Linked DNA regions of Drosophila melanogaster. The protein of the gene in region 1 interacts with the protein of each later gene in a pairwise test. Each region holds a gene or a part of one and is shown on either strand. Other genes may lie near its edges.

Evidence for each region. Proteins that work in one complex are often made in the same cells at the same time.
Region 2: the proteins of CG18266 (region 1) and SmE interact in a two-hybrid assay, tested with the Drosophila melanogaster proteins (one large-scale study listed by BioGRID).
Region 3: the proteins of CG18266 (region 1) and CG7800 interact in a two-hybrid assay, tested with the Drosophila melanogaster proteins (one large-scale study listed by BioGRID).

The regions. Positions count from the first base shown.
Region 1 is NT_033779.5:5,595,004-5,599,466, forward strand, and holds CG18266 (uncharacterized protein), read left to right. Parts: upstream 1-1,829; 5' UTR 1,830-1,935; coding exon 1,936-3,396; 3' UTR 3,397-3,633; downstream 3,634-4,463.
Region 2 is NT_033779.5:7,884,198-7,887,704, forward strand, and holds SmE (small ribonucleoprotein particle protein SmE), read right to left. Parts: upstream 1,254-3,507; 5' UTR 1,147-1,253; coding exon 862-1,146; 3' UTR 733-861; downstream 1-732. Other genes in the region: CG7102 (uncharacterized protein), read right to left, coding at 1-384, 458-591, 2,111-2,273, 2,338-2,500, 2,731-2,855; CG34132 (uncharacterized protein), read left to right, coding at 1,452-1,607, 1,680-1,778. UniProt on the Drosophila melanogaster protein: Plays a role in pre-mRNA splicing as a core component of the spliceosomal U1, U2, U4 and U5 small nuclear ribonucleoproteins (snRNPs), the building blocks of the spliceosome.
Region 3 is NT_033777.3:8,215,982-8,220,466, forward strand, and holds CG7800 (uncharacterized protein), read left to right. Parts: upstream 1-1,975; 5' UTR 1,976-2,079; coding exon 2,080-3,681; 3' UTR 3,682-3,753; downstream 3,754-4,485. Other genes in the region: CG18249 (uncharacterized protein), read left to right, coding at 4,217-4,485.

The DNA of each region.
Region 1 (4,463 bases):
GCTTCATTGATTAAAAAAACAATCCCCTGTGGCCACGTCCACCACCGCCGTCATATTCATACACTTAATTAAATTTGTGGCTGGCGAAAGTGAAATGTAACGACATTCGACGGCGGAACGTGAAATGTTTGTTATTAGTGTAAACAACATTTTATATATTTTCAAATGGATGTAGACTCGACGGGCCAGTCTGCGAGTGGGTCAGAGGTCACACATGGCGTATGAAATATGCGCCGCACTGGCCACAGGTAAAATTGTCACGTTTTTAATTAAACGGGCGCCCAAAGACCAACAACCAGCGCATCGTCCAATCGTTCAATAATCAATGGCTCGTCCGTGACAATAACACGGGTTAAAAATATAATTAAAACTCAAAATAAAACTTTTATTGGCTGCGTGCCTGAAATGTGTAACCGAAACATTTCATAATGGCTTAACCACTTGTCGGAATTTCATCGGCCAATGCAACAGTTGGCTCCGCCAATTCCCAGTACATTATTATCCAACAGAAAATATTTAAATACTTTAAGTCTAAGTACGTTATGGTCTCCAACGATTGCAGGGTATCGCCCAAGTCCATTAGATCTTTCGAGGGTCCATGGTTTGTTTTAAGGCGTCTGGAAACCGCCACCAGGTAGCGCTGATCAGCAATCTCGACAAGAGTATTTACCTCTTTATCTCTTGTTTTTCATATCTATATCTCAATCCAAGCAGCTGTGTAGAGGGTGTTCGATAGTCGAGAAACCTGACTTGTTTTAATTGAAATCGTGGAATACCGTGTACTTAGACCTGCAGCTTACAATAATTAATCGATATTGATTTTAAGCCAGAGTCCTTTCACTGTAGTTTTTTATTTTTGGCTAGCGGCTTTAAAGCAGCTTTATCTTTGACCTGATTCTGGAAATGGAGCACTGAGCCTATTGTAGATGACACACGCAACCACATACCCAGCCACGCCCACTTTTTGACAAGTCATTTGGCAGGTCGTTGAAAAAAGGGCCAACTTAATTGTGTCACTCACCGTTCAGCCTTAATTTGAGAGCCAAGATGATGGTGAACGACGATACAGCAATTAACGAGGTACAAAATCATTTCATTGTGTTTGCCAAACGCCGCGACCCAGAGCGCCCAAAAGCCAGCGGCGATAAGTTTTTTTATTACACCTGAGTCTGGGGGAGGAACCCAGGTGAGCTCCACACTATCTCAATGTGCGTGTGTGTGTATGTGTGCCAGGACTCATTAAAAACGAAAGAGACGCTCATTACCTGGCCAAGAGCAGGCAGAGAAACAAACGAACTCGCCGCCCTCATAGGACAACAAACGATTTTTGAGCCGGCGACTTTTCGCTCCAACACCCCAAAATTCACCCGCTGAAATTGAGGTTTATGTGGATGAGGATGCGTGTGGTGTTGGGTTTTAATTACCTTTGGTTTCATCCTTCGCGCCGTCATTCGGCTCGTTGTTTAAGTAATTGTTTGCCATTAGTTAAAATGTTTTCATTTTGCACCGGACTCGTGCCCGGACCGGACGCACATACGTGTGCATGTGGTATCTGGTGATGGCGGAAAAGATATCAAATTTGTAACCTGTCAGAGCGGAAATTCAATGAATTTCCATTTTCATATTTAATGATTTCGGTTTCTTAGTTAAACGTATTAAACAGAATGTTAAAATGCAGTCTCTCATAAAAACACTAACGAGCTTTACACTTTGGTATACTTAGATGTGACTCTAAATGGAATATTTTACTCTATTTTTCGACCACAGCAATCGGTGAACTTACGCTTTGATTGTCAGTCGTTGTGTACATTTTATGTTTCAGCAGTCTACAGACACAAAGCCGACACGACATATCGTCTCGAAAACTCGAGAGAAATCTTTCCCAATTCAATTTCCACATCCCCCACTTTTGTCGATCTTTCGCAGACTGCCGGAATGGCCTTTGTAGCGCGTCGGAGTAGCGATGGCTCGGTGGTGGATCGTCAGCAGGTGTCTGGTCGGGAAAAAGTACGTCCAGCTTCCCAGTCGGACATTAGTGATGAGGATTCGGAGTCGCTGCTGGGCTATACAAACCACACCTATGGGGCTCCCACAGTGAGGTATGTTGGCCAGGGTGAAGATCGTGAAGCGGTGGAACCTCAGCTAGATTATGAGGATTTTGGGGATTCTCTGGGGGATCATGCCGACAATTCGGAAAGCGAGACGGATTCCATTTTGAGTTTCTGCAAGGAACTGGATGAGGAGGAGGCCAACGATGCATTGCTAAATGGCAGAATGAGCTTCACAGACGAGAAGGCGAAAGTTGAGGATAAAGCGAATGCAGATGATGTGTTTCACCGGGTCATGAACAAAGGCGATGAGGCGGCTGCCACGGACACGGAGACCGTGATGAACTTTGATCACGATGTGCAGAGCCTTAGCTCCTTAGGCAGCTGCACGCCAACGGTGACGCAACGCGGTGAGGATGTCGACAATTTGGACAATATCAGCGGCAGGACATTTTTCAAGGAGGAAAAATCGCACAGCATTAACACCAGGACCTTTTGCAAGGATAACAATCTGGATGCGCTGAGCGGCAGGACCTTCTACAAGCAGGCCTCCGTAAAGGAGACTAACCAGGGCCAGATTTCCAGTCGGACATACAGCCTGAGTAGCTCGGGCAACAATCAAAACCATGACGCATCCTCGATGTCCACCTGCAGCTGGTCGGACATGTACCGCGGTGCTCTGCAGTCCACCGATGGATGCACCGGTATGCCCCCTCTGAGCCTGGCCAGCGTCGTCTCTGACTCGTCCACGTGCTACAAGCAGCTGGAGGAGCATAAGGAACGCCCTGGCCCGCAGGCCTTCGAGGACTGGAAGGCGCGAAAGGCCGCCGAGAAGCAGAAGAATCTGCTGGCTGCCAAACAGGAGCGCGAAAAGCGGGAGGCGGAGGCAGCACTGCGACAGAAATATGCCCAGGAGCACTTCCAGGAGTGGTGTCGTCGCAAGGAGGAGCAGCAGCAGCAGCAGCGGCAAAAGCAAAAGAAATCCTCGACCTCTAGCTCCAGTTTGGGATCGGTTTCCAGCTCTAGCACCGCCCCTACAAGGAAGGTGTCTCCCGAGAACACAAAGAACCGTCTGCAGAAGTGGGAGCAAGCCAAGCGGGAGCAGCAGCAACAGGAAAAACAACGCCTGATCCGACTGCAGTGCAACAAGCAGAAACTGGAGGAGGAACGCCGTCAGCGCCGCCAAGGCGCCTGGCAGAACTGGATGAAACAGGTGGACAAGCGGGCCAAGCCGGTTCCCCTCAATCAGGGCTTTGACACGCTGCGCGGTACCATATCCAACATCTACATCAATCCCGTGCAATGGGTGTCCAATATCGATCCGCAGGATTCGGGGCGCAGTCGTTAGAATTCCTTGGAGCGCTCTCACATTCGTTAGTCCATCGCCATTTCACGCTGAAATGCATGCAAGACCTATGGGGACGACTGGTGCAGGAGGACGGGAGGAGATCGCCTCGGTTGCTGGGCCCGCAAAATGATTTTAATTCTACTACTACACATTATACACGAATTTTGATTAGTGGCGGTGGATCCCACTTTGTTTTACCTTCGCAAGTTACTCAATAAACTACAAGATCGGCAGCTTTAACTGTAGTTTGGTTTATATTATATATCTCTTGATAGCCAACAAACAAGAATAGTTATTAATAGTTATTAACAAAATGTTTCACGCATTTCTAAATATGACAATTAAAATCGTAGAAGTGAAAGAGCTCATATTTGTGGATAGTGCGAACCCATTGCGAGAAGGTTAATAAAAGGCCAGCTTAGTGAAGCGAACCCGTAACGATAACCTTTGACCCGGGTGTATTATGGTTATGCTCCTCCACCACCCTTGGCCCAGAGCCTAAGGACACTGCACTTCCTTGTTGGCCATTCTGTCCCTTTATTCTGGCAACCATTTCCGTGTTTGTTTCAATGCCCATCCCATCCCATTCCATACTATCCACCCACAATTGTGTGCGTTTGTGTCAATTTCTGTTTTTATTATTTATTTGCCCGGTCCATGGGGAGTCGGCAGGTGGTGGAGCAGGCTTAATTAAGCTTTACTCCACCCACCCGGACCGTCCCAGTTTTATTTATGCAATTAACCAAAGCCTCGTGTAATATAGTCCCGTTAGGTAAAAATCTTTGATTAATTGTAGTTTTGTTTACACGATGGCAGCGAGTCAGACCTGATTATGTGGGCCATCATCTGACAGGGTCCAAAAGGGGATTTTGGGGCACCTCGGGATGTGCGTGTGTGTGAGTGTGTGTTAGAGGGTCCTTTCAGGTGATTAGTCCTTTAGTTGGCTGGCAATTTGTTTACACGTTCTGTGAGCTCGCCTAATCGCCAGCAGGCCTCTCGTCATTAGCACTATCATTACTTTGTGTTGTTCTCGATAATGCTTTCAATTCAAAATGGCCAAGATATGT
Region 2 (3,507 bases), 2.3 Mb from region 1:
CACTCCAACCCAATTATTGAGAACAGTCTGTAGTGCCAGATTGTCATTCTTCAGGATTTGGGATCCGGGAAACATGTTGACCGCTACAGCTAGGCGGGGCTGAAGTCTCTTATCGTTATCCATCATCTTATTGGCATGCAAAGCGGCATAGCGATATCGTTCTAGGGATAGTTCCATAGGTACAGCTCCTGTAGGTTCCACTTCCTCCGCGAAAACTTGGCTATCGATGAGAAGCAGACGCACGTGACCCATTACACCGCTTAAGTGTTGGCAGACACGAGCACGCTCCTCCTCAGTCCAATGTGCAGTGGGTTGGGTGACTCCTGCCTGGTATTTGGCCCAGGATAAAACGCAGCGCCACACTTCCTCCTCTTCCAAGCAGAACTATTGGTAGTTAACAGTTTTGGTAATTAAAGAAATTCAGTAAATTGAGTGGTTATTCATTATAAACTCTTACATAGTCTGAGGAAATAATCTTAATAATGGCATCCTTTGTTAAAGTAAGGAAGGCATTAGTCTTAACGCACTCATTTGCATTTTCCCCTATGTAGATGATGCAGCGTTCCATAAACGAGGCAGCGCATTTGGCACCTGAAATTTAAAGGGAAAGTTTAAAATTAATTCCTTGTTTTTTAAAGACACTCAACGGCTTTTACCTTGAGACAGCATCCTATTCTATATGTCCTGAAATCGGATCGTATTTGCTACCTTACCCATTAGAAACACTTGATTACAGAAAGTCTACCATTTATTTCAACATTCGTCTTCAGATATCGGCTTTACATTTATTTTACTTATATTAAGGGCGTTCAGCGTTTGCAGGTGGAATTCGAAGGATTCGCAGGATGGCCGCTGAGTCGCCTAGTCCTTCGTGGGACTGACGTTCTGTATGAGCGTGATGTTGTCGCCCTTGAGCATGATCCTCCCGAGGTTGCGGCGCTGCCGGGTCTTCACATAGACTTCCTCGGCGTCGTCCAGCACCAGATTCATGTACTCATCGAATCCCACAATGTGGCCCTCGATGCGCAGCGATATGTTCTCGTATAACCAAACTTGCACGCGGGACCGGTTCTGCAGGTAACGGAAGATCAGGTTGATGGGCTGCACCATCACCTTCTGCACCTTGGGATTTCCTTTGAACGACATTTTTGCTGATTTCCGACGACTTAATTTGAGTTAAACAAATTTTCGCTTCTTTTTGCCGGCGTCTTCTTTTCGTCCAGGCGATAGGCAGAAATATCGATGGCACAGCACAGATGGTCACACATAATCGCGGCCTACCGAACTATCGACCAGCCTAAAGATACCAAAATGGTAAATCCTCTGGTAGCATAACCATATCGATAGAAACACTATCACAATCGCACTGTTAAGTTTTTGTGGTTGGGCAGAAGTTGTTGCCATTTATTCATAGCTGAATTAAACTATAGTTTATAAAGAAAACCAAACAAATGGCTATGGCTAATGTGGACAAAGGTGAACTTATGGACCAGGTTAAGCAACAGATTGCTGTTGCGAATGCCCAGGAATTGCTCACGCAAATGACCGAAAAGTGCTTCAAAAAATGTGTCAATAAGCCGGGAACTTCCCTCGATTCGTCCGAACAGGCAAGCTATACATATCTTATTTTGCACTATAGAATATGTATTTAAATAGTATTTCATTAATATCCAATTTAGAAATGCATTTCCATGTGCATGGACCGGTTTATGGACTCGTGGAACCTCATTTCTCGGGTGTACGGCCAAAGAATACAACGTGAACAATCCAAGTTCTAAACACACGAATCGGCTTCTGCATTTTGGAGCAGCTTGGGACTAACTATATCTGCCAGCTATTGATTAGTTGTTATATCTAAAGTTTGATAATGCAATAAAAACATGCATTGCGTGTTACGTGATTCTGATAACACAACGTGCATATGTTTTTTCTTATCGATATGTGATGTGGTACAAAAAATACCAAAACTTTCAGAATGGTTAGTCTCAATACATTTGACATAGCATATTATGTAGAATGTATAAAGTGTTTTGGCGCGAATATGCAACTTCACATAATTGCTTACTTTTAAAGGTGTGATTTTCTAAAAGAGCTACTCAATATTACTAACCTGCTTTTTCGTGTATATCCATAACGGCGGTTAAAAATGTGCAGGCATTATCCACCGACAATGTCGATATAACGTGATCCTCGCAGGCAGTTCGTAGCTCAACCACACCGATATCCTGTGCCAATATCATCATTTGAAATACTTGCGAGTCCTGGAGAACCAACTGAAAAATGAATTTTGGTTATAATTTTATTATGTTAGATGTTACTAATAAGTAGTTTTCTTACCTTTGCGGTGTAAACGTACAAGATGAACTGCCTGAATAGTTCCGGATTCACGTGTGGTAATCGTATGGTGGTCGGAGTTGAAGCTCCTGGGGCTGCTGGCGATACTGTGCATCCGGGAATTCGACACACTTCACCTCTCTTCGCAGTCTTGAAGCTCTTGCACCTGAAATCGAATTGAGTGAATGGAAAGGCAAGACAAATTAATTAAGTGACCAACTGGAATACCCGGGATTCCAGCACGCAACATTGTAAGATTCCGAAAAAGGCAACCGTAGGCAATTATCTTATTCCACAGAGAAAAATTATACAGTTATTGGCATTTATAAGATTTTAAGGTATCACCAAAATTTATTAATCTCTTAAGTATTTGTTTGAAAAAACAATTTAACTTACCGAGCCATTAGCATTAATCTATGGGCATATATGCGCTCATCTCTGCCACAAATGAATACCACATCTGCACTATCCTGATCCTCGGAAAGGCGCTGCAGATCCTCGATCAACTGGGGCAGACTCATGATTGATTTTTATTATTAAGTGCGGTATTCTTGGGCTCAAAAAATTGCAATCATTCGTGCAGAAGTGCACGTGTTGCCTTGTCCCTCTGCAAGCACTGGGTTTTGTTATTATTTTGCGATTGGGTTTGTTTATGTTTTCAACTTGGAAACTCTCTTTATTTCTCTCTTTTAATCGCTGGATTCGTGGGAGCGCAGAAACCGGTTCCTGGCTGAAAATTCTTGGCCGACACCAAGCCACAATCGATTTGGCAAACAATATGGCCTGGGAAACAATTGCAACAAGATTAAATGGTATAACTTTTCTACAAATATTATTGTAATAGTAATATTGTGCACTATTTATTTTACACAGCTGCAAACTAAGCGTTTTTTCAAACAATTTCGACCTTTCCTCCGCGAAATCTGATTTTCTTTGACCGCTGGTCGTTCTTCTCGCGATCACGATTTGCTAAAGACTGAAGAAGAGACTTGGGACAGGTTGCTCTTTTGGATCTTTCTCAGTGTTTCTCCCAAGCAGGTAAACGGGATTAGTTTTTGTTTTGCTTTTCTCCATTCCGCTCTCTCTCAGTGTTATCTTTTTTGAGAGACTTTTTATAGCGAATGCTATAGAAATTTTCATTTATGAATGAAACTAATTAAGGACGAGACGAAT
Region 3 (4,485 bases), on another chromosome or scaffold:
CCTACTCCTCTGCGTGGCATTTTCGGCTGGACTTGGGACTTTGGTGAAAAGGTGTGCCTGGGTTATGCGAAATATGCGTGGCGTTGTTGATCGGATCGGCTCGAGGGATCGGGATCGGGATCTGCACTGCCATGGCCCAAAGTGGTTTAGATTAAAGGGTTTAGTTCTCTGCCTTGTGTTATTTCATTTTGGGGCGTTATTTGCTCAGCGAGACGTGCGACTGCTTTTGACTCTGGCTTCGGGCTTTATGCTCTGCATTCTTTTTTATTTTTTTTTCTTTGACTGCAGGAAGATCGATCTGGCCGATCGGTCGGTGCACCTCATTGACCTCCCTTCATCTTCCAGCTCCCTTGGCCCCTTAGTCCCTTCCGCATCCCAGTCCCCGTCACCTCGGCATTTCTGTTGTTGTGCCCGTTGAACATCTGTCGATCTTGTTTGGCGATAATTTGAATTGAGTTTTCTCTCCAAGTTGGCCAGCCTTCTCACATGTGTAAAAAGTCCAGAGCATTGTGCCATTTTGGTGAGGAGGCTTCCAAGGGGTAATGCCGGTAGGCGTGTTAATAACAGAGCTCATCCTCGTCAAATGAAGGCACACATGTGAAATGACACCAGATCTAGACGGAGTGCAAAGCTTTCCCACAGCACTCAGAAAAAAAAACACAAAACCAAACAGTAGTTCATTTGGGAATCGAAGATACACCTTCTAATACCTACGGGAAATATAATTAAGTTAATAAGTATTAGTATTATTTTTAAATAGTTTACAATGGTGTCCTCCGTACTCCGTAGGCTTAAGCTTGATCCTAAATTTGCAAAAAAAACACTCTTTTTTGGGTGTAGCTTTGCCAGTATTACTTTCCCAGAACGTGTCACCTAAAATGGGGAATGGGAAAGGAGGAGTAAGTGGAGTGGAGTGATGGTGGAAACCAAAAGGAGATTGGGGGAGGAACGGAGTCCCAGAGCCTTGGCCAATCCGCCGAGCACGTTCAAGTCGTTTTCTCGCAATTAACGCGAAATTCTACGAATTGTTTAATTAGAACTCCAGTTTCAGTTCTCGGTGTTCAGGTTGCATCCAAAGGTCTGCAAATCCCGCGTTGCCTGCAACCTCTGCACGTTTGTATCTTTTGGTTCTTGCTGCTTTTCCCTCGCTTGTTTGGGGCTGCATAATCTTTTCTGTAAACATGAAACTCGCGCCATTATATCGAGCCAACGTTGAGAATGGAATGGAATGGTATGGTTGAGGTATGGCTATGGGTATGGGTATGGGGCTCAGATCTTGGCCAGAACCTGGCTGCTTTTTACATGTTCGCTTGTTTTGTGCCGTGTGGCAGCGATTTGAAATTTAAAATCTGTGAATTTGAAGCAGTTTATCGAGACTCCTCGTCCTTTCTTAGGTGTTGTCCCCGATTCGTTTGGCCGATTAAATCATTAAATATTCCGATTGTGTAGCGTTATAATGAAATGTTTTTAACGCTTGTCTGACTTGGAATTATGCAGGGAATTAAAGGATCTCACCCCCCCTTGGCTATCTTTTATTTGCGAAGCTAAGAAACTTCTTTTTATGTGGAACATGTTGGTCTGTTGTCCCCGATAAGCGAAGATGTTCCTGGCATTTGGCGTATTCACTGGGTATTGAAAGATAATACTGTAGACACAGAGGCTTCACATTTTCATCAAATAATTGTCCCATAAAGTTTATTAAGAAGTTTTAATTATGTCACTTTTTATAAACTCATAAGTTGGGTGTTCCTTAAGAATATATATAGAAATATTCAGCTAGCCACCGGTAACAATATTGAAAAGCATAGTGAATGGTTAAAAATGTTTTAAAGGAACAAACAAATATTTTAAAATCACTAGAAAATGTTTAATCTAATTTAAAATTCAACAGCCCGGCGATAATCGATAATCTAATCGATCTTCTAATGTGTCTTCTGCGTAATCGATATGAATAGATACGGGCGAACAGCTGACTCGTTCCATCTTTAGCAAGTACAGGTACTACCTATATATCAACAGATTGTAAACGCGGTTAGGTTTCAAAAGTTATAGTAGTTGTAGTTGTTATGAAAAGCAACTATGTACCTAATAATCATCGCCCTGCTTGCAAGTGTATCCGCTTTAGGCCGCCCAGACTTGGAGGACTACTGCAATGATTCCTATTGCCATTTACTTGGTCGGAGCCGGACGTTTAGCGATAAGAAGGCTACCAAACTAACCGAGTTCCACATGGACTCCTGCGAAAAGAAGGTACTCAAACTTATGCCCAATCTGCGCACCCTGGAGCTGGAGAACTGCGACAGTCCGGACTTCACCATGAACGACCTGAATCAACTGCCGTACCTAACAAGCCTTCAATTGCGACGTGGAAATCTTTTGGGGCTGCACGACGAACACTTCTCGAAGTGGCCAAACATGAAGATCCTTATGCTGGGGGGGAACAACATAACGAGACTATCCAATGAATGCTTTAAAGGCCTAGCTCAGCTCTGGCTGCTGTCTCTGCCGGGGAATGGTATTCAAGGTTTGCCATGGGATGTATTTCAAAACCTACCAGAACTTCTGCATCTCGACCTAAGTGGCAATAGAATCGAAACTCTTCACGAAAACATTTTTACAGGCGTTCCCAAGCTAGAGATGCTGCTACTCAATGGGAATCCCTTGACATGGATAGCGCCTACGTCTCTAAAATCTCTAAGTAACCTACGCCTTTTGGACATGAGCAACTGTGGACCGCTGCCGGATCTTTCATTGCCCGGTGCACATACCTTGATCCTCGACAACAGCGGTGTGCAGCGCCTGGACATTTTGGGCAGTGTCCATAAACTCCAGGCGAGGAAAAACCATATAACCGAGATTAAATTACCCGACAAAAGCTCTGTTATCGAACTGGATTTGCATAGCAATTTACTGACCGCTACCGATATTCCCAAACTTCTAACGGGCATGTGGCGACTGCAACGACTGGATCTATCCGAGAATATCATAGGGATATACGCAGCCGCCGGAAGCGACAATACGAGCGAGCTCTTCATACTTCCCAATCTTATGTATATGAACCTATCGGCAAATCGCCTGACGCGTCTGCACTTCGATTCGCCAATTCCATGGGAAAGGCTTACTCATTTGGACGCTTCGTACAATAGAATATATGCTCCCGCAAAGGTTGGCATTGACGAAGCTTTCAATCTTCAAAGTTTGCATTTGGAGGGAAATTATATTAACAATTTTGAACTTACACCCTGGAAACCTCATCCAAGTCTGAAAGAGGTTGCTCTGTACGATAATAAATTCCAGCCTAAGGGCTATAAAAATATTACAAAGTTCTTCAATGAAATTGGAGTAAACGTCTTAGAGAAAACGCAATACAGTCAATCAAACAACACGACTCCAACTTGTAAGCCGTGCATACCAGATGCCAGAGATTTTCCTACGAGTATAAGCGCCGACACAAACCAAACCATAGATACCAAAGTTAATCCTTTAAGCAACGACACTTATCAATGGAATGTATGGAACGTACTGATGCTAGTTTCCCTGATTGTTTCCTTGTTCGTAAACTCTTTTCTAATCGTGAAACTCATTCGTTTGAGAGGAAGAAACCAGTTCACGCAATCATCATCGGTACCTGCCATAATCGAAATGTTTTCAAACGAATCTGATGATGAAATTATCCTGTAATATAATCATTCTACTTAACATGTATATATTTAAACTTTTCCTTAAATAATAATAAAGAATCTCTTGAGTTTTTCCTACCATGCACATTTAAATAACCGGCTACTCATTTGGATGTGCCTACATGCTGAATGATATATATATACAATATATACTACTATAACGAATAATTGAAATGCATCAAATTTAAACATCAATTATTACATTTTATTTTCCAGGGCCACATCTATTTTGAACACAAGCATTTCCCCAATGGTTTGTAAACGTAGGTTGAAACATCTCAGTATATGTATCTGAAATATGACGGAATTGATTCTGAATTGCCTTATCAACTAACTGAACGAGGCGAAAGCTTTACTTTGTTGCTCTCGGCAAAGCTCCCATGGGTATTTAAATTACCCACTATCAGCAGTGAGTAAAGCTCCACCCGCTGGTCCACAAATCCAGATGATAAGAACATGATGCTGTTGCCGCTTCGATCGGGGCTAGTGCAATATTTGCAGTCGAACAAAGCGCGAGCAAAGTGATACGGAATAACATGCATTTTTACAAGTACATTTTACTCGGTATTTGCGGCTTAACGGTAAGCGATGCACTTGCCGTGTACGATGCCTCCGGACGCTTTAATCTCAGTGCCAGTTGCCCGGATTCCTTCTGCAGCTTAAGTGATCGGCCAGTGGCATACTCTGCGACTCCGGCTCTTCAGCTCCGGGAATTGCACTTGAGAAACTGCAGCCGGCAATCGATCACATGGCTGGTTCTGCAACTTACACCTGGTCTTCGCACCTTGGTTATCCGCAACTGTGC